Linked DNA regions of Rattus norvegicus. The protein of the gene in region 1 interacts with the protein of each later gene in a biochemical or structural test. Links are inferred from orthologs where the notes say so. Each region holds a gene or a part of one and is shown in the gene's direction. Other genes may lie near its edges. The genes, in order: Ikbkb, Trim21, Tnfrsf1a, Nfkbia, Nfkbib, Map3k14 and Map3k1.

Region 1 (3,500 bases):
CAAAGAATTATCTGTTCTCCATCGTATCTTACATATTAACCCTCTCTCTTCCAGTTTCCAAATGAGAATCTTCACCTTGTGCGCATGTGGATGTGGATGTCCGTGTGTGCAGGTGTTGTTTCAAAACAGGGTCTCACTATTTAGCATTGAGAGACCTGGTACACAGTCAAGACTTGCCCCGATTCACAGAAATCCTACTACCTCAGCTTCCTGAGGGCTTGGGCTGTGTGTGCACAGCCAAGATCAGTTAGAGCCTCCTTCTGAGGCTGTTGCCAGCCCACCTGTGTTAGAGGAAGAGGCAGGCATTCACGTCTAGCTTTGGACTTAGGTTTTTGAGGGCAAGTATTTTCTTGGTCAGGTCCAGAAATGGCACCTCGAATGCCTCTCATAGCTAAGCAGAGGAGGAGTGTAATAATCTTTAAGCTTGTTCTTGTTTGGGGCATTTGGGTTTTATAACTATTCCCAAACTGGCAGTCTTTTCCCACTGAGAGCATGTGACCGGTCATCTGAAAAGTGGTGATTCTGCTGGCCGAGGTCAGCGGGCTGGTGCTGTAAACGTTCTTGCTGTGCCGTGACCATGGCCTTTTCTCTTTCCAGAGAGGAACAAGCAAGAGAACTCTACAGAAGACTCAGGGAGAAGCCAAGAGGTATGTGCTTCGGACCCCAGCCTCCATTTGTCTTGTCTGTGAGGCAGTGGTCTCCCCTGGAGGCCAGTAGGAGGAACGATACCATTCTCCTCTGCAGACCAAAGGACAGAAGGTGACAGCCAGGATATGGTACGGCTGCTGCTGCAAGCCATCCAGAGCTTCGAGAAGAAAGTGCGGGTGATTTACTCTCAGCTCAGGTGGGTGCTCCCTCTCCCCATCCAGGACCGGATGCAGAATCAACAAAGCCAAGGGGCAGGTGGATGCCCTTGCTCCTCGGCTGCGATCTGCCCGCACAATGAGGAACAGATCGTATTTAGAGCAGTGCTGTGCCGGCCCAGACCTCTCAGGCCTGTGGATCTTTCGTCCCTCACAGTAAGACCGTGGTTTGTAAGCAGAAGGCCCTGGAGCTGCTGCCCAAAGTAGAAGAGGTGGTGAGGCTCATGAACGAGGATGAGAAGACTGTGGTCCGGCTCCAGGAGAAGCGGCAGAAGGAGCTCTGGAACCTCCTGAAGATCGCCTGTGTGAGTGACTTATTCCGGCCTCTCAGGTCCCCTCCCTCAGCCGTGGCTGCTCTTTCAGCTCTGACCTGTGACATGGAGTGGTCAGGGAAGCTCCCTGAAGGGAGGCTTCAGCAATTACCTCAAAGAGCTGCAGACAGCAGCCATTGCTCTTTCAGAGCTTCAGATACCGGAAGTTAGGAATCCAGTTGTCAGCAAAATGGTGTCTCCTCTGATGGATCCAGGGCAAAGCCACCCCACCCCCACTACCCTCTCCAGCTTCAGTGGCTCAGGCCTCCTCATCCCGTCCGTGTCTGTCTTCTGTTGACATCAGTGTCTCATCCGAGTGTCTCTTATAAGACATTCTGGGGTAGAGATACATTTCAGCAGAAAGATGTTTGCCCCGTGCCTAAGGCCTTGGGTCCAGTCAGACCCTAGCAGCAGCACACACACAAACACACACACACACACACACACACACACACACACAGAGCTAAGCAGAAGGTTGCACACTTATTATCCCAGCACTTGCTGAGACAGGAGGATGATGAGTTTAGACCAGCCTAAGCAATGTCGAGACTCCTTTCAAGGTGTTAGTGGGCTGATAAGGAACTGGCATGGTGGCACATACCTGTGAGCCCAGCCCTTGGGGCTCTGGAGCAGAAAGTTCAGGGCTAGCTTGGACTACATAGTAAGGCCTACCTCAGATAACAAAATAAATCCAAAAAGAGCAAGAAAAGGAGATAGTTTATTACAGAAGCAGGAAACCAAAATGTTGCTTTGTGAAGATTCTAAGCCTGGAGCGTCTCCACAGGCCAAGCGGGAGGAGGCAGTGTCTTGCGAGGCTCACAGCAGCAAGCTCACACTTGTGCTCACTCTAGAGAACTCAGGGAAGTCAGAATCCAGAGCTTCACTGATGGATTTGCCTGGGGATGGGAGCTGGGGGATATGCCCTCCTGTAAGAAAGGGGAACCGAGGTAACACATGCTGGCTTGTTCTGCCACCTGCATTCACCGAGTGTCCAGTGTGAGAGCTGTGCTGTGTGGGGAGCTGGGTCTGGCATCCACCGTAACCCACCGAGGGCGCAGACGAGGACTTGAAAGAGAGCACCCTAGCCTGCTAAAGAAGCGTAAACTCGGGGCTGGGGATTTAGCTCAGTGGTAGAGCGCTTACCTAGGAAGCGCAAGGCCCTGGGTTCGGTCCCCAGCTCTGAAAAAAAGAACCAAAAAAAAAAAAAAAAAAGAAGAAGCGTAAACTCTGGTGTGCAGGGTGGCGGCCTGTGAATTCAGGGCAGGAACCCCAGCTTTCTCGGAAGTGAGGGAGTAACCAGAAAGGCTCCTGCGTGGGAGTCGGAGTGATGTGACCATGAGAATATTCCAGGAGAGCGCATGCTGTCTGCTGGTAAAGCTGGATTGGAGCAGTGCTTGTAGGGTTTCACTGGGGGCAAGACGGAATGGGGCTAGCACCGGCACCCCTTATTCTCATAGCACAAGAGGAAACACTGAAGGGTTCCCTCTTCCCAATCCCAGTGAAGGCACTTCAGGAGAAAACACTCGGGAGTGGCTGGAGACGGAATGCCACATTGTCAACCGTAGCACCAAGAGACAAAGGCGATGGGTGGAAGGAGTTGAGAACCCTGTGTGGAGCAGGCTAGCCCTTCCATATGAATTAAGCTTGCATGCCTGGTGTAGAGACAGAGGAAGCAGGCGTCCAGCTTTCTCCACAGGTGGTGCAGCAGACGGGTGAGGAACAGTACAAAAGCGCTTGCTTAAAAGGCTTGTTGAAGGTGGACCTTGGTGGTTAGCCAGGGTCGGGGAGGGGGAGGCAGAAAGGGACCCCAACCTGAGGGCTGAGATTAGGACCGTGCAGCTTCTGGCAACAGTGACGAGAGGATCAGGGACAGCGAAGAGTGTATGAGGCAACCCCACCAAGGAGAGGCCAGAGGCTCAACTGCAGAAGTGGCTAGAGGTGCTAAGGAACTGGCTGCAGGGCCTGGTCCCTGGCTGCACGCATGAGGAGGTGGCCAGCAGCCACAGCCTGGGTGGGCCTCTTGCTGGAGGAGGCTAGCTGTAGCAACCCTGGTCATCCAGACGCCTCAGTGTTCTTTCTGAGCTACACCACAGGTAGTGCAGTCGTTATTATCTCTGTGTACCTTGGCTTCCCACTTGGAAAAGTGAAAACACCTTCCTCTCCTTTAGGTTTGCTTTGTGTGTGTGTGTGTGTGTGTGTGTGTGTGTGTGTGTGTGTGTGTGTGTATTCAGGTGTGAGTGTGTGCACATGCGTGCATGTGTCCAGGTGTACCAGAGGCACTGGGTCCCCCAGGAGCTGGAGTTAAGCATTTGTGAGCCACCCACTG
Region 2 (4,261 bases), on another chromosome or scaffold:
CCACACCCATTGGTCCTTTCCTGTTCCCAGCTGTCCTCCTTCTACTTCTGTATCTTTGGGGCTTCTTAGGTCACTAAGTTAGAAATGAGTAAAGAATGCTTTTCCTGTCCTGGACAGAGTGGACTTGGGTACCACTGAGACAACTTGGGTTACTGAAACACATTCAAGTTAGTAAAGCCTGACTAAAACCCAAAGCATAAATATCTCACTTCACCAAAACACTGATAATGTACTAGACAGTCCTATCAATGACATTAACTCTTCCCAAATAAATACTTGAGTCATTTCGCCCAGGGGAAGGAGGGTTGAGATATCAAAGTACTAGCTGAGAGTGAAGGAGATTTTGTTCTTCAGGAGTTTGGGTCTTCAGATAATTACCAAGGTGGGAGCTGAGGCAGCTATGAGTATATTACATTGGTCATCCTGTGTGCACATTATAGAGTATTTATCACCACAACCCTAGGGTGTGTATTAATCTCTCTATCCAGTGTGTAAACTGAAACAGATAAGGCGTCATCTAGTGGTAAATAGAAAAATAGACATTGACTCTACCACTACCTTATTTTGGGACCCAAGTTCTTTGCCTGCAGGAAATAGCGACAGATCTTCAGTGGTGTGAAGCAGAATCATTTTCTGATGTTTGCAGATGCCTTTGTCCTTTCAGATGCTTGACTCTGTTTTTCATTCTGCTTCCTGGAGCTGTTGTGTTCCTGGAATCAAGTCCCAATACAACAGCACAATCTAGACAGTAGATGTCGCCTGGTGACCTTTTACTGAGAAGGATCTCTTAAACAGGGCTGGAAATTTCAAAGCACGGAATGCTTTTATTTCCTAAATATGATAAATGGCAAGGAAAATTCACCTGATGGTTTTAGCGCAAATTATAATACAATCAATGTCCACAAGTCTCCCTTCATTGCTACAACACATACCCTAACATCATTAGGAATAAATTTCTCACCCTAGACTATTTGAAAAGAGGGGAGCAAAACGAGAAGACAGAGGGATGGGAAATGGGCATATGTCAAGCATACTGTGCAATTAATATATGTTAACAAAAACAGTGCCAGGATCTTTCACCCGGATTTTAAAGAACTATCAGTCTTGTGGGAAGATCCCTCTAGAAAAGATAGTAACTCCTCTCCCATCCAGACCTCTTCTCCCAGATGCTCCCAGGTTTGAAGTAAAGACCAGTGTCAAAGGTCGATATCCTGTAGATTACAGTCTGTTAAAGGTGACAAGGAGGCCTTAGAGAGACTGCACCCAAGAAGACATTAACTGAGTTTTCCTTTGCCTGTGGCCTGAAGTCAGTTTCTGGCACCTCTGACCACTCTCCTCCCACTCTCTGCCCAGTCTCCGCCCTATCTGCCTCCAAGGCTTGCCAGTCAACTCCCTGTTCCTCCCCTTGCTCCTCCCTCTTCCTTCTAAGCTTACCTCTGAGAGGAAACTGAAAGTGAAATTAGACTGCGGGCTTGCAAAAGTGAAGCTGAAAACAGCCTAGCCAAGTCTGAGGACCCTGGTAAGGTGAGTGAGGATGGGACCCCTGGCCAGACTAGATGGGCTCCCCCCACCCCACCCCAATGCCACAGATTCAAGGAGCCGCTTCCCACTAGCGCCCTACACACGGAATTTCCTAGCCCACCTGCTGCTTCTCTTCAGCGGAGTTCTCTAGTCCCAACCCTGCCAGGCTGCCCGTGCTTCCCTGTGAAAGCTGGTCTCTGAAATTGACTTTCCTAGTGCCATGAGCAGGAGAAGCAGGGCGGTGACCTAGTCCGGGAGGGAGAGGGGAGGGGGGAACTCGGGGAAACCCCAGCCCCTTGAAGACCCTCGATTGAGGAGAGTGCTAGCCACTTAGAAATTTCAGTGGGTTTAAGATACTCAGCACCCTAAAGGAAGTTGAGAGAAGTACTAGGCTTGGAGGAGCTTAGAGAAGAGCCCAGGGAGTGCTCCCCACAAATGTCAATAGATGAGCATACATACATATTCTGTACATAGACATTTAGATAGAGGAACGTATGGGCATGCCTACATTGATGCATTTGTGCTCAAGTGTAGCTTACAATGGAACATATCAGGGTAAATAAAGACATCAATTTGTGTGTGTGTGTGTGTGTGTGTGTGTGTGTGTGTGTGTGTCTGACACACACACACACACACACAAGCCTAATAACTGGGAAATATACTCTTAGATGATGTACTCAGGATAATGAATGCACATCTTGAAGTTTTTTTATTGGATTTTTTTTTATTTTTATTTCAAATGTTATCTCTTTCCTGTTTTCTCTTCCATAAACCCCCTATTCCACCTCCCCTCCCCCTTCTTCTATGATGGTGTTCCCCCGCCCACCCCTTACCACCCGCCTGCCCAGACATTTCCTACACTGTGATGTCAATTCTTGGCAGGACCAAGGGCTTCCCCTCCCATTGGTGCCCCAAAAGGCCATCCTCTGCTACTTATGCAGCTAGAGCAATGGGTCTGTCCATGTGTACTCTTTGGGTGGTGGTTTAGTCCCTGGGAGCTCTGGTTGGTTGATATTGTTCTTCCTATGGGGTTGCAAGCCCCTTCAGCTCCTTCCATCCTTTCTCTAACTCCTCCAAAGGGGACCCCACTCTCAGTTCAATGGTTGGCTGTGAGCATCTGCCTCTGTATTTGTCATGCTCTGGCAGAGCCTCTCAGGAGACAGCTATTTCAGGTTCCTGTCAGCATGCACTTCTTGGCATCAGCAATATTGTCTAGGGTTGGTAGCTGTATGTATATATGGTCTGGATGCCCAGGTGGGGCAGTCTCTGGATGGCCTTTCCTTCAGTCTCTGCTCCAAACTTTGTCTATATATTTCCTCCTATTAATATTTGTGTTCCTTCTTCTAAGAAGGACTGAAGCATCTGCACTTTGGTCGTCCTTCTTGAGCTTAATGTGATCTGTGGATTGTATCTTAGGTAACCCAAGGTTTGGGCTAATATCCACTTATCAATGACTGCATACCATGTATGTTTTTACTGATTGACTTACCTCATTCAGGATGATATTTTCTAGTCCAATCTATTTGCCTATGAATTTCATGAAGTCATTGTTTTTGATAGCTGAGTAGTATTCCATTGTGTAGATGTACCACATTTTCTGTATCCATTCCTCTGTTGAAGGGCATCTGGGTTCTTTCCAGCTTCAGGCTGTTATAAATAAGGCCGCTATGAACATAATGAAGCATGTGTCCTTGTTATATGTTGAAAAATCTTTTGGGTGTATACCCAGGAGTGGTATAGCTGGGTCCTCAGGTAGTACTATGACAGTTTTCTGAGGAACCTCCAGACTGATTTCCAAAATGGTTGTAATAGCTTGAAATCTCACCAACAATGGAAGAGTGTTCCTCTTTCTCCACATCCTCGCCAGCATCTATTGTCACCTGAGTTTTTGATCTTAGCCATTCTGACTGGTGTGAGATGTAATCTCAGGGTTGTTTTGATTTGCATTTCCCTGATGACTAAGGATGTTGAACATTTCTTTAGGTGCTTCTCAGCCATTTGGTATTCCTCAGTTGAGAATTCTTTGTTTAGCTCTGAACCCCATTTTTGATAGGGTTATGTGGTTCGCTAGAGTCTCACTACTTGAGTTCTTTGTATATATTGAATATTAGCCCTCTATCAGATGTAGGATTGGTAAAGATCTTTCCCAATCTGTTGGTTGCCATTTTGTCCTAATGACAGTGTCCTTTGCCTTACAGAAGCTTTGCAGTTTTATGAGGTCGCATTTGTTGATTCTTGATCTTAGAGCATAAGCCATTGGTGTTTTGTTCAGGAAATTTTTTCCAGTGCCCATGTGTTCGAGACTCTTCCCCACTTTTTCTTCTCTTAGTTTGCGTGCATCTTATTTTATGTGGAGGTTCCTGGTTCACTTGGACTTGAGCTTTGTACAGGGCAATAAGAGTGGATCAATTTGTGTTCTTCTACATGAGGACCTCCAGTTGAACCAGCATCATTTGCTGAAAATGCTATCTTTTTTCCATTGGATGGTTTTGGTTCCTTTGTCAAAAATCAAGTGCCCATAGGTGTGTGGGTTCATTTCTGGGTCTTCAATTCTATTCCACTGGTCTATCTGTCTGTCTCTGTACCAATACCATATACTTTTTATCACCATTGCTCTGTAATACTGCTTGAGGTCAGGGATGGTGATTCCCCCTGAAGTCCTTTTATTGTTGAGGATAGTTTTTGCTATCCTGGGTCTTTTGTTATTCCAAATGAATTTGCAAATTGTTCTGTCTAACTC
Region 3 (3,500 bases), on another chromosome or scaffold:
GTGGATGGAGGTCAGAGGTCAATCTCAGGTTCTCTAGAGAGCGTCAGGGACCTGCCTTGCTCTTCTCCATTACTGGGATTATAAACCTATGCTGCTATGCTTGGCTTTTTATGTAGGCGATGGAGCTTGATCTCAGGTCCTCAGGTCGCATAGCAGCACTTTCCCGAACTATCTTCACGACAGTCCTCCCTATAACTTAACCCCCTCCCCACAACATACTTTTCTAATTACTGTAATGGAATCCAGAGAGGTTTGCTCACTTCTAGGAAGTGTCCACAAACAGGCACAGTGTGAAACCCGCAGCCAGATAGAGAAATGCCAAAGGCGCCGCTGTCTGTCTGTCTGTCAGTCTGTCTGCGGGAAAACCAGGCCATATCCGAAACAGCCTTGTTTTCCTCCTTCTGGCTACATTTCTCGGCAGGGCAGAGGGCACCTCAGTGCTTCTGTGTGAGACCAGGAGCTCCACCCTCAGCCCTGCAAACAAGCCTAAACATTCCTTGACCAGTGTCCCCCCCTCCCCCGCCGTGGTCAGCCTTGTGAGCTGCTTCAGGGAACTGAACAGGATGAAATGCAGCTGGGGCCTGAGACCTAACTGCTCAGTTGTAGAGACCGTTGCTAGCATACAGAACCACCAGAGACCAGGAAAACACTGGACTACACAGCAGCCACCATCTTAGGGACAATGTTCCCCGGGAGGATGTAAACTTGGCGGTGTGTGTGTGTGTGTGTATCCAGTTTGTTGTTGCCTCTAAGGCCTCACCCTATCCCTGACAGAATTTCCTCTTTCCGATTGTTCCTTCAGGTGCTCCTGGCTCTGCTGATGGGGATACACCCGTCAGGGGTCACCGGACTGGTTCCTTCTCTTGGTGACCGGGAGAAGAGGGATAATTTGTGTCCCCAGGGAAAGTATGCCCATCCAAAGAATAATTCCATCTGCTGCACCAAGTGCCACAAAGGTAGGAGACAATGGGGGCAGAGAGTCCTCGTGAGGTTCCTTTTGCTTGTTTCTGACGTTCCCAGACCTTGTCCATGGGAGTCCCCTTACTTTGCTGTTTCCCCCGGAGTTGGGCTTTGCTCTTCAGCTCTCAACTACAGACTAATCCTGACCCCATCCACAGGAACCTACTTGGTGAGTGACTGTCCAAGCCCAGGGCAGGAAACAGTCTGCGAGGTGTGTGATAAAGGCACCTTTACAGCTTCGCAGAACCACGTCAGACAGTGTCTCAGTTGCAAGACATGTCGGAAAGGCAAGCCTTAGGATTGGGCAAGGGTTCTAGAAGGTGCACGGTGCGAGAAGGCGCGCGTGAACATGTGTGTGTGTGTGTGTGTGTGTGTGTGTGTGTGTGTGTGTGTCCATGGATGTTTGCCAGGGGTCGGGGTTCGAATCTGCCCGTGGGTGTGGCGGGAACATGCATGCACTTACAAACCTGGGCGTGTGTGTGTGGGACTGTCTGTGTCACGAAGACAAATGCACGTGGCGAGCTGGGGCGTCAAGATGTGTGTGGGAAAAGCGGTGCGAGACTCATATACCGTTTCCTTCCCTCTTCAGAAATGTTCCAGGTGGAGATTTCTCCTTGCAAAGCTGACATGGACACCGTGTGTGGCTGCAAGAAGAACCAATTCCAGCGCTACCTGAGTGAGACGCATTTCCAGTGTGTGGACTGCAGCCCCTGCTTCAATGGCACCGTGACAATCCCCTGTGAGCACCACTCACTCAAGTCCAGGCCTCTCCCCCAACCCCATCTCCTCCTTCCCTCCTCCCCATGAGGGAGCTGCTTTTCTACTCCTCTGTGGGTATGAGCTCCTATGTGGTGCCTGCATCCTGCCCTTCTCCCTCCCTCGTGTCCTCAGACTGCAGGCACACTCTCTTAGTCTCACTGTTTTCTCACAGGTAAGGAGAAACAGAACACCGTGTGTAACTGCCACGCAGGATTCTTTCTAAGCGGAAATGAGTGCACCCCTTGCAGCCAGTGAGTATCTGCCAAGTGCTTGGGGACCAGGGTGGATGAACAGCTGTGGCTGAGAGGCTCCAAGCAGGATTAAAGGAAGTATCCTACAACTGGATGAGAAGACAGTACAGCAAGACATCAGATTGTCCTTTCTGTTTCTCCAGAATGTTAGGGTACAGGCAAGTGGGTAAAGTGCTTGCAGCAAAAGTCTGGCACCCTGAGTTCAATCTCTGGAGCCCGTGTAAAGGTGAAAGGAGAGACTATCAGCTCCACAAAGTCATCCTCAGACCTCCACATACAGGGCATAGCGTGCATGCCTCTTCAGTGCTGGGCAGTTAGAATATGCGCACACTGTTCTCCACGGCTCTCTATTGATGGTGTCTTAGGTCTGGTGTGTCTGCCACCCTATTGCTGGTGATTCCTTCCCAGCCTCCCTGACAGACTTCCTCATTCCTGTGCCTCCACATGGGCTGTTCTCATACATTTGCTTCCAGAGGAAGAAACTCTGAGACTCTCATAGTTGAACTGACCTGGGGTTAAATCCCAACCTACCCATTTCCTGGCTCTGCAACCTTGGGCAAATTCCTACATCCCCACACCTAATGTTTATTAACTTTTAGGGTAAGGAGAGTCAGGGTGGAAGTACTTTGGGTCAATGGTAGAGCACTGGCCTAGCCTATTGGAGGCATTGGGTTGGATCTCCAAAACAGACGGCTAGACCAACGATCTATAATACTGTCTGAGCCAACGCTGTCTACTTTCTATTTTTTTTCCTACTCAGTTTCAACTCAGAAGAGCTCATGTGCCCAATCCTATGTGTTCTATCCCGAGCTCATGAGGAAGACAAAAATCTCCTTTCCCTGTTTGCAGACTTCTGCTGAGATCACATTCCTCTGTCGTCCCCCTACCCCCACGCAGTGTAGTTTTCTCATCTCTCTCCTCCCCAACCCCCCACGACAGCTCTCAATGGCTGCCCCAGTGATAGACATCCTAAAATCTCTCATGCCCCCGTGACCGGTCATATCCAAAATCAAGTGCTGTAAACAGCAGTGTTATCGGATGGGAGGCCCTCCAGCTTCTTGTATGAGTCCTCTTTCTGGACCTGTGACTGAATCAGCTTAAAGCAAAGACCGGCTTATTTTGCCTCCTGGTTTCATCAATTCACAGTATTTGGCATTGCTGCTTTTGAGCCGGTGCTGAAGCAGGACATCATGATCAGAGCATACTGTGCAAGCAAAGTAGCTCACCTTGTAGCAGCTGAGAGGCCAAGAGAAATAAATAAATAAATAAATATTTATTTATTTATTATATATGAGTACACTGTAGGTATCTTCAGACACACCAGAAGAGGGCATCGTATCCCCATTACAGATGGTCGTGAGCCACCATGTGGTTGTGGGATTTGAACTCAGGACCTCTGGAAGAGCAGTCGATGCTCTTAACCACTGAGCCATCTCTCCAGCCCCATTTTGTTTTATTTTATTTGTCTTTACTCAGGGTCTCACTGGTTAGCCTTGGCTGGCCTGGGACTCACTAGGTAGACCAGGCTGG
Region 4 (4,101 bases), on another chromosome or scaffold:
AATCTTTTCCCCCAGTGTCCTCACTTTCATACTGTGGGGGAGGCAGTGGAATTACGAAGAGAGGAGAGTTGCTACAAGGCTCAACAAGAAAAAGATCACTCAAATTTCACCAGAAATCTATGCAGAACAGGAAGCCTACTGGGTCTATTCTGACAAACTGTGATCCAAGTTGCTTTAATTTTCCCGAGTTACCTCACACTTGCAGGCTCCTAAGTCGGGATGGGGTGGAAGCAACACTTCTACTTTTGCAGGTAAAACTAGGGGATCACAGGCCCAAATCCCTTTCTTGAGGAGTAGCCACCCACAATGCTGCGGTCCCTGGGAAGCAAGGAAGCTAGTAGAACCAGCAGGTTTCAGATGTGGTCAGTGTTAGGACTATGTTGAGCCTCCTGCAGGATGCTTCAAAGTTACTTTCTTAGCTATGTTTAAGAGGCTAGGGCACTAAACCAGTTGTTCTGCTAGGCATTCACAATAAGCTCCGGCTTTATTCTCTACAAGTTAACAAGTTAACTCCAACAGCAAGAACTCAACAGTTTCTGTTGCATGGAAGCTACAACTTCTACAAAGATTAACACCTTGCATTACTTGGGGGAAAATGTGGTTCCCATATGGAGCTAGACTTTGCCCCTCCCCCGCTGCCCCTCCCCCGGGCGAGATTATTGACCCCTCGGAATTAATCTAGGGGTTCTCCAGGCGCTTGGATTTTGTTGTTGTTGTTATTGGTTTTGTTTGTTTGAATGCCAAAGTGTCTACAGCTTCGAGGGGGGATGGTGAAGGGCAGCCAAATGTCCATGCACTGCAAAGAGCCTGAAACACAGACGACCCGGAATCACTCATACGTCCGTCGTCGCAGAAATTTAGGAGAAGCGAATCCCTGCACCCAGCCAGCCATTTCCACTCTTGGGTTTTCAAAAGATCAAGAACCGGAAAGGACCTGCAAATTGGCAAATCTCTAAGAGGAACAGCCTAGCAGGTTTGCGTCCTTGGAATCTCAGCAGCTTGGGACCCCAAACCAAAGTCGTCGGTGGGAAACCCCAGGGAAAGAAGGGCTCTTGTAGAACGCTGGGGTTACTGAGTGCAGGCTGCAGGGAAGTACCTAGAGGGAGGGGGCCTGGTCGGGAGGACTTTCCAGCCACTCAGGGCTCATCAAAAAGTTCCCTGTACATGACCCCAGTGGCTCATCGTAGGGAGTTTCTCTGATGAACCCCGGCCCTGGGTTTAGGCTTCTCAGTCGAGGACGAGCCAGTTCTTTTTCTAGTCTGACTGGCTTGGAAATTCCCCGCGCCTGACCCCGCCCCTGAGAAATCCCCTGCCAGCGTTTATAGGGCGCCGAGGCGGCGCTGCCGAGCCCACAACAGTCTGAACTCGCCACCCAACTGCCAGCAGCCTGCACCCTGCACCCGCTCAGCTCCGCACAGCCATGTTTCAGCCAGCTGGGCACGGCCAGGACTGGGCCATGGAGGGCCCGCGGGACGGCCTCAAGAAGGAGCGGTTGGTGGACGACCGCCACGACAGCGGCTTGGACTCCATGAAGGACGAGGATTACGAGCAGATGGTGAAGGAGCTGCGGGAGATCCGCCTGCAGCCGCAGGAGGCGCCTCTGGCTGCCGAGCCCTGGAAGCAACAGCTCACGGAGGACGGAGACTCGTAAGTGGCGGCGGGCTCGGGCATGGGCACGGGCGGGGTCGCGCGGGGCCTGCACCGCGCTCGGGGCTCTGCACGGCGGGGCTGCGGGGCTACGGGGCTACAGAGCTGCGGGCGCCGGGCCGCCTGCCTCCCCATCCCCCCACCCCATTTCCCGGGACCCGGAGTAGCCGAGCGCAGGCCGGGGGCGGGGCGGCAACGAGGACGCAAAGTCCCCGCCTGGCAGAGTTTCCGCGCAGCCGCCGGGCGCTGCGCGGCCGCGAGGGGAAGTACAGGGCGTTCCGGGCGGCGGAGGGCGGGCCGGTCTGGCCGGCGCCCGCCCGGAGGGGGTGGGGCACGGAAAGTCCCTGGGCGGCTGCCAGGAACACTCAGCTCATAATAACCTCGCGGAAAACACCGCGGCCGCGGCCTCCAGAAACCCCGGCCTTGCGCAATCCCCCGCAGCCCGCGCCTCTCGGGGGCCCCACGCAGTGCGCTCACCACCCCTGGGGGGTTTCCCTGTCATCCCGCAGGTTCCTGCACTTGGCAATCATCCATGAAGAGAAGACACTGACCATGGAAGTGATTGGTCAGGTGAAGGGAGACCTGGCCTTCCTCAACTTCCAGAACAACCTGCAGCAGGTGCGGGCTTGCCCAGCTGTGCCCTCTTTGACCCCGTGGTGGAGTTAGATGAAGCTCAGTCGCCCCCAAAGCGTTTCTAAATTAACAGTCACGGTCCTTATCTGCCCTGGCCTTTTACATTCAAATTAGCCAAAGTCTTAGAGCAAGAAGGAAAATCCCAAGGGTTGGTTGAGGTCTTTATGACCCACGTAGGGCCTCCTGTTTGCCTGATCTCCTGTAGACAAATGGGAGGAGGGGATTCTGTAATAGGAGGTGTCTGGGGTTCAGGAAACTCAAGACTATGGGTTTGCTCCATGGCTTAGGCTCTTTCTGTTTCCTCTTCCATTCGTAGACTCCACTCCACTTGGCTGTGATCACCAACCAGCCAGGAATTGCTGAGGCACTTCTGAAAGCTGGCTGTGATCCTGAGCTCCGAGACTTTCGAGGAAATACCCCTCTCCATCTTGCCTGTGAGCAGGGCTGCCTGGCCAGTGTAGCAGTCTTGACTCAGACCTGTACGCCCCAGCATCTCCACTCCGTCCTGCAGGCCACCAACTACAACGGTAGGTCTGCCAGTCCATCCAGGGACGCAGAGAAGGGAGAGACGGGTCCCCTTGAGTCTAGCCTGGAGCTAAAACGCCTCAACGTATAAGAAGTTCAGGCAGTGTGGACTTTTAAAAAGTCTTCTCCATGATTCCTACATGACGTTCACTGAGAACCCAGACTTTTGAGTTCTTCAAAATTGAGGTTGTTTGTGGTTGTCCCCAAGAAAGGAGACGTGACTTGTGTGAGGATTGAAACAAGTGGTTACAGTTCCGTCTTATATCCTGCAGGCCACACGTGTCTACACTTAGCCTCTATCCATGGCTACCTGGGCATCGTGGAGCACTTGGTGACTTTGGGTGCTGATGTCAACGCTCAGGTGAGTACTTCCCCTTCCTCCTAAACTCTGCTGGGCTGGCTCTTACTGTGAGCAGATTTCCAGATAAACACTTCTGATTGCCTTTGGTTTCAGGAGCCCTGTAATGGCCGGACAGCCCTCCACCTTGCAGTGGACCTGCAGAATCCTGACCTGGTCTCGCTCCTGTTGAAGTGTGGGGCTGATGTCAACAGAGTAACCTACCAGGGCTACTCCCCCTACCAGCTTACGTGGGGCCGCCCAAGTACCCGGATACAGCAGCAGCTGGGCCAGCTGACCCTGGAAAATCTTCAGACGCTGCCCGAGAGTGAGGATGAGGAGAGCTATGACACGGAGTCAGAATTCACGGAAGATGAGGTGCGTGTTCATTACTGCCAGAGTGGTCCATTCTCCCTCACCACACCTAGGTCTGTTCTAGAGCTGTTCTGTATCATAGGGACCTGAGTTATTCAACTTCTCAGTCTCAGCTTGCAAAGCCAGGATCCCAAGAACGTGTCTCTGGTTTGCTTTAATAGCTTACCCTTGTGGGTTTCGGAATGGGGCAGTAAGAGGGAGTTGTGGGAATTGAACCCAGGCTTTAACACGTGGTAATAGGCACATGTTCTACCATTGAGCTATGTCCCCTGCAATAGCTTAGACTTTTGAAAGGAGAGAATTGGTGAAGGGAACTCCTGCAGCCCGGCGCCTGCGTTCTGTTTAGGCTGAGGAGGAGAGAGTCCAGGAATGGGAGTTATTTGTAGAAGCAGCTCTCCCGCCATCCCAATGGCTTGGCGAAGTTCTAGGAATCTAATGTGCCTTTTTCCCTCTCTTGTTCCAGTTGCCCTACGATGACTGTGTGTTTGGAGGCCAGCGTCTGACGTTATAAGAGGAAAGTGGCCAAAGGAACGTGGACTTGTATATTTGTACAAATAGAGTTTTATTTTTCTAAAAAAAAAAAA
Region 5 (2,535 bases), on another chromosome or scaffold:
GAATTGAACTCAAGACCTCTGGAAGAGCAATCAGTGCTCTTAACTGCTGAGCCATCCCTCCTACCCTAGCCTTAAACTCTTGGCCTTCCTGCCTGGGATTCCAGGCAAGGTGGTGCAAGGCTGGTTTCTGCAGAGTTGGGGTTGAGCCTTATGTGTGCTAAGCTAGCACTCCCAAGTAAGCCACTGCCTAGCTCACCTTTCTTCTTTTCTTTTTTTTTGTTTTTTGTTTTTTCTTTTTCTTTTTTTCGGAGCTGGGGACCGAACCCAGGGCCTTGTGCTTGCTAGGCAAGCGCTCTACTACTGAGCTAAATCCCCAACCCACCTTTCTTCTTTTCTAATGTGCTCGGAATGCTGTACATATTTCCTCTGGAGAACTTCTGATAGACTGTGTTTTGTTTTTAGCATAATTGAGTATATTTTTTAATTTCTCTTTTGATTTCTCCTTCAGCCAGTAGGTAATAAAGAAGTACATTCATTTTCCACACTTGGAGGACTTTCCAGACCTCTTTCTGTCACCGGCTTTAAATTTCATTTCACTGAGGGCAGAGAACATGCTTTGTCTGATTTGCGGTCTCTGGTTTTTTTCTAGCGGTGCTGGCCATCAAACCCAGGGCCTCCTGAGTGTTAGGCAAGGGCTCTCAGGAACTGTGTCCCACAGATTTCATTCTGATGATGCGTGACTTAGAGGTAATGTTGGTTAGCAGTGTTGTTCAAAGCTGGGTGTGTAATTCCAGCCACAAAGAAGACGGAGACAGGAGGAGTTCAAGGTTAGGGCCTGCCTAGGAAGAGAGTAAATTCAAGGCCAGCCTGGGGACATTCATAGCAAGGCCCTGTTTCACAATAAAGGGAACCAACAGGAGGAAACTCGGTGGCACAGAGCTTCCCTGCATGCCCGCTACCTTAGATTCAGTCCACACAACTGCAGAGTCAAGGCGGCCGCTCCTGAAGAACGGTGCCTTTCAAGTTGACTCTGTTCCTGTTTTTCTGTTTATTCAAACAGTTGGTGACAGAGACCTATTGAGATCACCAGTCTATGGATCCATCTGTTGCTACTTCTCCTTGTTATTAGATCTGTGTGCATGTATGTGTGTGTGTGCGTGTGTGTGTGTGTGTGTGTGTGTGTGGTATGAGTGATGTGTGTGTATATATGGTGTGTGTGTGTGCGTGGTGTGTGTGTGTTGTGTGTGTGGTGTATGTGATGTGTGTGTGTATATGGTGTGTGTGGTGTGTATGTGTGGTGTATGTGTCTGTGTGTGTGTGGTGTGTTTCTGTGTCTATGTGTTTCTGTGTGTGTGTGTGTGTGTGTGTGTGTGTGTGTGTGTGTGATAGAATCTCATTATTTAGCATTTAACACTGCTGGTTTAGAACTCACCATGTAGTTCAGTCTGGCCTTGAACTAACAATCCTCCTACTTTAGTTTTCCCACGTACTAGCATTAGAGCTATTACACCTGATTATATTACTCAGTAAATACTGGTGAAACAAAGTCGGTAGCTGGGGCCTATTTGCACAGGCTTGTCAACCTTGCCACTCAGGAAGCTGAGGCAGGAGGGACTTGAACTCAAGGTCAGTGTGGGCAACTTATGAAGACCATCTTATCTCAGAACACCAACCCCGTCAGACAAAGTTTCTGGATTACCTTCTGCCCCCTGACTCTCCCAAACACTGAAATGTTTCCAACTGTGGCCACAGTTTGCAGCACATAGAAGACACTCTGTGTTACTGACCTTTGCCTTTGTCCCCAGAGCCCTGCACTTGGCCGTGATACATCAGCACGAGCCCTTCCTGGATTTCCTCCTGGGCTTCTCTGCCGGCACTGAGTACCTGGACTTGCAGAACGACCTAGGCCAAGTGAGCCACTGGGGATGTTTGCTGTAGGGAGCCGGGTCCAGCATTGTCAGTGTGGCCCTAACCCCTTCCCTCTATCCCTGTAGACAGCCCTGCACCTAGCAGCCATCCTTGGAGAGGCATCTACAGTAGAGAAACTCTATGCAGCTGGCGCAGGAGTGTTGGTGACTGAGAGAGGGGGCCACACAGCACTGCACTTGGCCTGCCGTGTGAGGGCACACACGTGTGCATATGTACTGCTTCAGCCCCGTCCCAGCCACCCAAGAGATGCCTCAGATACCTACCTCACTCAGAGCCAGGACCACACCCCAGACACCAGCCATGCCCCTGTTGCCACGGACCCCCAACCCAACCCAGGGAACGAAGAGGAGCTGCGTGATGAAGATTGGAGGCTGCAGCTAGAAGCTGAAAACTATGATGGTGAGGGCCCCGGGCCCCAGGGAGGATGTGAGCTCCTGGCTCCTCTCGCCCAGCCTGAGATGCAGCTGATGCCCTTGGACATAGCTCAGTTGGTGGGGTGCTCATCTGGCATATGTAAAGCCCTAGGTTCGATCCCCAGCGTAAACAGTATGGTGGTGTATGCCTATAATACCCTGTGTTGGGAACAAGAGGAGGAATTTAAGGTCATCCTGGTGCTACTTAGCTAGCTTGAGGCCAGGCTAGGTTACAGGAGACTGAAACAGATAC
Region 6 (3,500 bases), on another chromosome or scaffold:
GGAAGGAAGGAAGGAAGGAAGGAAGGAAGAATCCCAATGCTAGCTAGGCATGGTGACACATGCTTCTAATGCCAGCACTCAGGAGGCAGAAGGAAGCTGATCTCTGAGTTTGAGGCTAGCCTGGTCTACATAGTGAGCTCCAGAACAGCCAGAGCTACAGAGAGAAACTGGTTCTGGAAGAAAAAAAAAAGTCTTCCAATGTTGGAAGGCGGGATTAGCCCTGTTCTTTTTGTAATGATGCTAACGTCTCTGCTGTGGACATGCTCTCCAGCCGCGTATGGCTGTGCTGTGTGCGTGGGAAGGCTCAGCATGGTCCATGTGGAACCCAGAGAAAGGTGGGGTTTCATGCAGAATACTGGTTGGTATTAAGGTCTCCAGTATAGACACTCCTCCTATCATTGCCTGAAAGAAATCCTAGATTTTTGCAGCAAATGAGTTTCGGAAATCTGAGGAGGAAGCCATTTTTTCAGAACCTTCCAGAGAGCCACAGACTGTTGCATCATGGGAAAGGAGCCAAGTGTTCAGCCCATTTTTAGGCTGAATAGTAGGCTTTGTGACATTTCTGCACACACATATTCATATAAAGCCACGCATTTCATGACAGTGTTTCCACCAACAATGGACTGCATGTACCACTGGCCCCCTAAGACTTTCCTTTCCCCAGTGATGTCATAATGCATTCTGTGACACTCGCACAATGCTAAACTCTTCTGGCAATACATTTGCAGAATGCATCCGCATCGTGATATAACTGTGCATATATTTATTCCTGCTAAGAACAAAACCAAACCTTGCTTTTCTCCATTGGAGAAAAGCCACCATGGACAGAATAGATGTGCTCTCTGTGAAGGCAAGGTGTCCTTGGGGTCTGTGAGGGGACGGTTTTGGAGAATGAGATTTACCTCCCTGTCCAGGGGAAATGAAGTTTTCCACACAACAGGAAGAGTTTTAGCCACTGTAGGACGAGAAAAGTCCAGTTCCATGTTGCTGCTGTCTGCAGGGGAGGAAAGACTGACTCTTCTTTAAAACATATTGTTTTTTGCTCTTTGATGATTTTGTCCATCATCAAAGATGTATAATGTATTTTTGTAATATTCACTCCATTACCTTCTTTTTTTAAGTTATTTACTTTTAGGCCAGGTGATCGTAACACACACCTCTGATCCCAGCACTCAGGAAGCAGAAATAGGCAGATCTTTGTGTTCAGGGTAGCCTGGTCTACAGACTGAGATCCAAGACAGCCAGGAATATATATACCTGTATCAAAAAGCCAAAACATATAACAGTTTAACATCATTTAAAATAATTTAAAATGTGTACCTAAAGGTTTACCTTTATGTATGATATACAACACATATGCAGTGTCCATGGAGGCCAGACCAGACAAGGGCATTGGATCCCTGGAACTTGAGTTATATTGTGAGCTGCCATGTGGGTACAAGGAACCAAATCCATGTTTTCTGCATAAGCAGCCAGTGCTCTAACTACTGAACCATCTGTTTCCTCTTATCTCCCTCCCATTCCCCTTCTTATGTGCCTGTCAGTGTGTATGCACATGTGTGTGCATGTATGAGTGCTTGTATTACATTGAGTTTAACTAGGGTCACTTGCATGAGTGTGGTGTGGGGTTATTTACTAGAGCACAGGCAGTTTACCAGTGGCTACACCACTGAAGAAAATGACTCCCATCTCTCTGAAGGTCCAGCAGATGAATCCATTTTTAAATGATTTATTTTATTTTACATGCACTGGTTTTGCCTCCTTATATGTATGTGTAAGGGTGTCAGATCCCCTGGAAATGAATTATAGACAGTTGTGAGCCACCATGTGGGTGCTGGGAATTGAACCTGGGTCCTCTGGGAAAGTAGCAGTGTTTTAAACCACTGAGCCATCTCTCCAGCCCCCAGAAGAGTCTATTTATACTACAGCGCCAGTAGACCAGTGCTCCCACAAGTGGAATGCTTGTAAATAGTTCAAGGTTGGTGTCCTTACCTGTAACTCAGGGTGTCTAGAGGATGAGTATCCTTGCCATAAAGAACCAAGAACCTCTCATGTGACCCCCATACAAACACATACCCACACGCATGCATGCTTCCCCTCCAAGCATGTTCAACCTGTGGCTGACCACACAGGGTCTAGGATTTGAATGACCAAATCTGTGTTTGGCCCTGTCAAGGTGAGCACAAGCCTAGGAGATGGCCGTGATGGAAGTGGCCTGCCCAGGCACTCCTGGGTCGGCAGTCGGGCAGCAGAAGGAGTTCGCCAAAGCCAAGGAGAAGACACAGTCACCAGGGAAGAAGCAGAGCTGCATCTTCCAGCTCGAGGCGGTGGAGAAGAGCCCTGTGTTCTGTGGGAAGTGGGAGATCCTCAACGATGTGATCACCAAAGGCACAGCCAAGGAAGGTTCCGAGGGCGGGCCCCCCGCCATCTCCATCATCGCCCAGGCTGAATGTAAGGACCCAGGGTACTGTGGGTTCAGTGGCAAGTGAGTGGGCTTGCAGATGGGTGGCTGGGCACAAGAGGCCAGCCTTGGAGTCCCCATGGGAGAGCAAGGTCAGAGCGACTGCTCTAGAAGCATCTCTCCAGACACAACTGAGCATCTAGGCCAGAATGTGTAAGTGGGAGTTGTACACACACTAGGGTGGATCATGGGGATATAGCAAATAGAGACTGTGTCACCGTGACCCAAACAGGGGCAGCCAAGAGTCAAGATTGCTTAAGGACTCTACAGGAAAATCAAGCTGGCCCTTAACCTTCTGCTGAGGTACTTAATGGGAGCATGTGGAGAGACCCAGACAGGAGAGGCCAAGTTTCCTAGACCCTCTGCTTTGCAGGTCTTGGTCTCCGAACTGCTAGCCTCAGCAGGAGGCCAAGTCTGGCTTTCTCCACTTTACTCCTGTTGCCTCCAAATGATAGATATTGGTGGCTGCCTGGGAAACAAGAAGTCCCAGGGGACCTCAGTAGCACCAGAGCCCTTTCCCCTCCGTCAGCACCATCCTCCAGTCCAGACCTTGGGCTAGAACCCAGAGAACCTGGCATTTCTTTCCGTATATATGCATCCTCTGCTTTGCCTCCTGAGGCCTCTCTCTTGGTTTCTGAGAAGAAACAAGAAAACAACCCTGCAAATGAGCTAAAATGAAATGAATGTACATATAGACACATACGTGTAAACAGAAATACATGCCAGCTTGTTTGTCAAGCTAACTGCCCTGTGGGGTGCGGAATGTTCAAGGAAGCTTCACTGTGAGTGAGACAGGCAGGCTCCACATGATCCCCGCTTTACAGACAATCCTCTCTTCACCGGTAAACCGGGGTACAGGGTAGCCCCCATTGAGAGAGAAGATGGTGGACTGGAGGCGAGCCATCAGACAGAGGAGTATGGCAGAGAAAGAAAGTGACCACTGAGGCCTGTCTGTAAAAGGCTCTCCCCTAAATGCTGACTTTGTCTTTGTTCTCATCCCCATCCCCGCTAATCTGACCCTTTTCCCTGATTCTCAGGT
Region 7 (3,500 bases), on another chromosome or scaffold:
CTCCTGCTGGTTTACTCTTCTTATACATGTAAATACATCACAATTCGTCTTCTCCCCCAAAAGTGTGTAAAACATCTCTTATATCTAGAAGTTTTCATATATGTTGTCTTAGAATCAAGCTTACTTTTTAATAATTGGTCATGAGGTCAATACCATTTACGATTCTCCTGTAGAAGGTTTTGGGTCCTGGTGGGAGGGCTGTAACCACACTTACATTAACTCTGTTACATCCTTGTCCTTTGTTCATTTAAACAAAGCATTCTCTTTTTTTATCTTTATTAAATTGGGTATTTCTTATTTACATTTCAAATGTTATTCCCTTTCCCAGTTTCCAGGCAAACATCCCCCTAACCCCTACCCCTCCCCTTCTCTATCGGTGTTCCCCTCCCCATCCTCCCCCCATTACCGCACTCCCCCCAAGAATCCCATTCACTGGGGGTCCAGCCTTGGCAGGACCCAGGGCTTCCCCTTCCACTGGTGCTCTTACTAGGATATTCATTGCTACGTATGAGGTCAGAGCCCAGGGTCAGTCCATGTATAGTCTTTAGGTAGTGGCTTAGTCCCTGGAAGCTCTGGTTGGCTGGCATTGTTGTTCTTGTGGAGTCTCGAGCCCCTTCAGCTCCTTCAATTCTTTCTCTGATTCCTTCAACAAGGGTCCTATTCTCAGTTCAGTGGTTTGCTGCTGGCATTTGCCTCTGTATTTGCCATATTCTGGCTGTGTCTCTCAGGAGCGATCTACATCCGGTTCCTGTCAGCCTGCACTTCTTTGCTTCATCCATCTTATCTAGTTTGGTGGCTGTATATGTATGGGCCACGTGTTGGGCAGGCTCTGAATGGGTGTTCCTTCAGTCTCTGTACTAAACTTTGCCTCCCTATCCCTTCCTAAGGATATTCTTTTTTTTTTTTTTTTTTTTTTTTTTTTTGGTTCTATTTTTCGGAGCTGGGGACCGAACCCAGGGCCTTGCGCTTCCTAGGCAAGCGCTCTACCACTGAGCTAAATCCCCAACCCCCCTAAGGATATTCTTGTTCCCCTTTTAAAGAAGGAGTGAAGCATTCACATTTTGATCATCCATCTTGAGTTTCATGTGTTCTGTACATCTAGGGTAATTCAAGCATTTGGGCTAATAGCCACTTATCAATGAGTGCATACCATGTGTGTTTTTCTGTGACTGGGCTACCTCACTCAGGATGATATTTTCCAGTCCCATCCATTTGCCTATGAATTTCATAAAGTCATTGTTTTTGATAGCTGAGTAATATTCCATTGTGTAGATGTACCACATTTTCTGTATCCACTCCTCTTTAAACAAAGCATTCTTTAGTCTCACTTTTCTCTTCTGATCCCACCTGTTGATCCTTTTCCTACAAGCCAAAAATCATACAAATTTCTGTTTCTCTTAAGAAAAATATTCTGACTTGAAGCCTCCACACCGGTGGTGTCCTGTTTTCCTTGTTTTTTGTACAAAGCCATACTCCTTCTCTATAAAGTATTTTAATCGTGTATAAATATGGAGTTCTTTGCAGTTTGTTTTTTGTCTCTTGGTTTTAGTGTTTTGTTTTACAATTTATTTATTTTGTATATGTGAGTACACTGTGGCTGTCTTCACACACACCAGAAGAGGGCATCAGATCCCATTACAGATGGTTGTGAGCCACCATGTGGTTGCTGGGAATTGAACTCAGGACCTCTGGAAGAGCAGTCAGTGCTCTTAACCGCTGAGCCATCTCTCCAACCTGGGTTTTAGTGTTTTTAAACAAAACAAACTATGAAAATGAAGGTACCCAGTTATCAGAGTTTAGCCTCAGTTTTACTTATAAGCTATTCAGTGTTAGTAACTTCGCATGATCATTCCTTGAATTTGATGATAAGGTGTGTTCTATGTGTTGAAGTGACTAGCATTGCAAATTAAGTGCTGTCGTGCTTTAGTTACTTTTATTGTTTCTGTGACCAAATACCTGGCAAGAAGTAACCATGGAGGGAAGGATTTGTTTGAGCTTACAACCGAAGGCATGCAGCTAATCATAGCAGGGAAGGCACGGCAGCAGGACCTAGAGTAGCTGGTCACGGGGCATCCACAGACAGGAAACAAAGGGAAACGAGCTCATTTCTCATTATTCAGCCTGTGCTCAGCACATTTACGGTAGGTCCCCGCCTCAACTAATATAATCTGGAAAGGCCCCAGTAGACAATCCCAGAAGTTTCTAAGTCCCATGAATTTGGCAGTCAGGGAGTGGGGGTGTGGACCCCATTTCTCCGGATGCTGTTGGCCCTCAGCTTGAGGGGAGAAAAGGGAGCAGAGGCAGAGAGCAGCAGAGTTTGGACAGAATTGCCTCCAGAGTCTGCTACTTGGGAGGCTGAGACAGGAGGATTGCTTGAGTCCAGGTTCTGGGCTATTGCACACTCTACAGTTCAGATGTTCCACTAAGTTTGGATGTCCACACTAAGTCTGGCATCATAAGGGTTACCTAGCAGATAGTTCAGCTAGTCAAGAGTTTTCCTTTTAAGCGTAGGAGTCTGAGTTTAATGTCCAGAATCCTATAGAAAACTAGGTGTGTTGATGCACTGCAGTCCCAGCTCTGGAAAGGTGGACCCACAGGGCTCAGTGTCCAGCCAGCCTAGCCTAATTAGTGAGCCTAAAGAAGAGCCCATCTCAAACCAGAAAGAAAAGAGACGTGGACATCTCCCGGGAACAGCTCCTGAGGTTGACCTCTGCCCTCCACATGTACACATGTGCACCATGAGCCCACACAAGAATGTGTATGTATTATGTAATTCTTCATAGAAAAACGTTGACAATTAAAAGTATCTGTCAGATACAGTCAAGGCTTGAAAAGTGGCCATTTTTCTTTAATTGTGGGAAACTCGTTAATACAGCGTGGGTCGCTTACTTCTCCACACTTGTGTTTGCTCGATTCAGGCATTCGGAATGGAGCTCGTTGGCTGCTTATTCTCTAGAAACTGGAACGTAAGGGAGATGGCCCTTAGGCGCCTTTCCCACGATGTTAGCGGGGCCCTGTTGTTGGCGAACGGGGAGAGCACTGGAACTTCTGGAGGCGGCAGCGGAGGCAGCCTAAGTGCTGGCGCCGCCAGTGGGTCTTCCCAGCCCAGCATCTCAGGGGACGTGGTGGAGGCGTGCTGCAGCGTCCTGTCTATCGTGTGCGCTGACCCTGTCTACAAAGTGTACGTTGCTGCTTTAGTAAGTACTTTATTCCATACCCATCTCTTACGAGTTTCTTTCTTTGGTCTTTTGTAGGTATCAGTTATAAGAAGCAATGCATCTTTACCAAAATTTTTTTATACCATAGTCCTAAGAAGTTGCAGTATTCCATTTTGTCTGTCCATATAATTTTACTGATCTTAATGTGCTCCTGATTTCTTATACACTGTTTACTGTCTGCCGTCTACTAGTAATGTCTTGCTGTTCATATATTTTCTTGAATGAATGCATCACATATGGCCAAGTTAAAACTTCTTGATGGCTTGTATTGTAGTTCTGGGC

Evidence for each region.
Region 2: of the proteins of Ikbkb (region 1) and Trim21, one has a biochemical effect on the other in vitro, tested with the Homo sapiens proteins (2 studies listed by BioGRID). The link is inferred for Rattus norvegicus from reciprocal best matches to the Homo sapiens genes IKBKB and TRIM21.
Region 3: of the proteins of Ikbkb (region 1) and Tnfrsf1a, one has a biochemical effect on the other in vitro, tested with the Homo sapiens proteins (2 studies listed by BioGRID, with this or other methods). The link is inferred for Rattus norvegicus from reciprocal best matches to the Homo sapiens genes IKBKB and TNFRSF1A.
Region 4: of the proteins of Ikbkb (region 1) and Nfkbia, one has a biochemical effect on the other in vitro, tested with the Homo sapiens proteins (58 studies listed by BioGRID and IntAct, with this or other methods). The link is inferred for Rattus norvegicus from reciprocal best matches to the Homo sapiens genes IKBKB and NFKBIA.
Region 5: of the proteins of Ikbkb (region 1) and Nfkbib, one has a biochemical effect on the other in vitro, tested with the Homo sapiens proteins (2 studies listed by BioGRID). The link is inferred for Rattus norvegicus from reciprocal best matches to the Homo sapiens genes IKBKB and NFKBIB.
Region 6: of the proteins of Ikbkb (region 1) and Map3k14, one has a biochemical effect on the other in vitro, tested with the Homo sapiens proteins (3 studies listed by BioGRID and IntAct, with this or other methods). The link is inferred for Rattus norvegicus from reciprocal best matches to the Homo sapiens genes IKBKB and MAP3K14.
Region 7: of the proteins of Ikbkb (region 1) and Map3k1, one has a biochemical effect on the other in vitro, tested with the Homo sapiens proteins (3 studies listed by BioGRID and IntAct). The link is inferred for Rattus norvegicus from reciprocal best matches to the Homo sapiens genes IKBKB and MAP3K1.

What each region holds. Positions count from the first base shown.
Region 1 is NC_086034.1:76,067,031-76,070,530, forward strand, and holds part of Ikbkb (inhibitor of nuclear factor kappa-B kinase subunit beta), read left to right. Parts: intron 1-597; coding exon 598-647; intron 648-744; coding exon 745-844; intron 845-1,020; coding exon 1,021-1,168; intron 1,169-3,500.
Region 2 is NC_086019.1:166,396,572-166,400,832, reverse strand, and holds the start of Trim21 (E3 ubiquitin-protein ligase TRIM21), read left to right. Parts: upstream 1-1,461; 5' UTR 1,462-1,524; intron 1,525-4,261. UniProt on the Homo sapiens protein: E3 ubiquitin-protein ligase whose activity is dependent on E2 enzymes, UBE2D1, UBE2D2, UBE2E1 and UBE2E2.
Region 3 is NC_086022.1:159,843,619-159,847,118, forward strand, and holds part of Tnfrsf1a (tumor necrosis factor receptor superfamily member 1A precursor), read left to right. Parts: intron 1-802; coding exon 803-956; intron 957-1,118; coding exon 1,119-1,247; intron 1,248-1,549; coding exon 1,550-1,699; intron 1,700-1,891; coding exon 1,892-1,970; intron 1,971-1,999; exon of another isoform or gene 2,000-3,500.
Region 4 is NC_086024.1:78,594,273-78,598,373, reverse strand, and holds the start of Nfkbia (NF-kappa-B inhibitor alpha), read left to right. Parts: upstream 1-1,301; 5' UTR 1,302-1,420; coding exon 1,421-1,647; intron 1,648-2,156; coding exon 2,157-2,265; intron 2,266-2,596; coding exon 2,597-2,807; intron 2,808-3,077; coding exon 3,078-3,166; intron 3,167-3,259; coding exon 3,260-3,520; coding exon of another isoform or gene 3,521-3,607; exon of another isoform or gene 3,608-3,980; coding exon 3,981-4,028; 3' UTR 4,029-4,101. UniProt on the Homo sapiens protein: Inhibits the activity of dimeric NF-kappa-B/REL complexes by trapping REL (RELA/p65 and NFKB1/p50) dimers in the cytoplasm by masking their nuclear localization signals.
Region 5 is NC_086019.1:93,175,853-93,178,387, reverse strand, and holds part of Nfkbib (NF-kappa-B inhibitor beta), read left to right. Parts: intron 1-1,745; coding exon 1,746-1,851; intron 1,852-1,934; coding exon 1,935-2,268; intron 2,269-2,535. UniProt on the Homo sapiens protein: Inhibits NF-kappa-B by complexing with and trapping it in the cytoplasm.
Region 6 is NC_086028.1:88,688,093-88,691,592, reverse strand, and holds part of Map3k14 (mitogen-activated protein kinase kinase kinase 14), read left to right. Parts: intron 1-2,176; 5' UTR 2,177-2,195; coding exon 2,196-2,451; intron 2,452-3,498; coding exon 3,499-3,500.
Region 7 is NC_086020.1:45,096,019-45,099,518, reverse strand, and holds part of Map3k1 (mitogen-activated protein kinase kinase kinase 1), read left to right. Parts: intron 1-2,918; coding exon 2,919-3,197; intron 3,198-3,500. UniProt on the Homo sapiens protein: Component of a protein kinase signal transduction cascade. Activates the ERK and JNK kinase pathways by phosphorylation of MAP2K1 and MAP2K4. May phosphorylate the MAPK8/JNK1 kinase.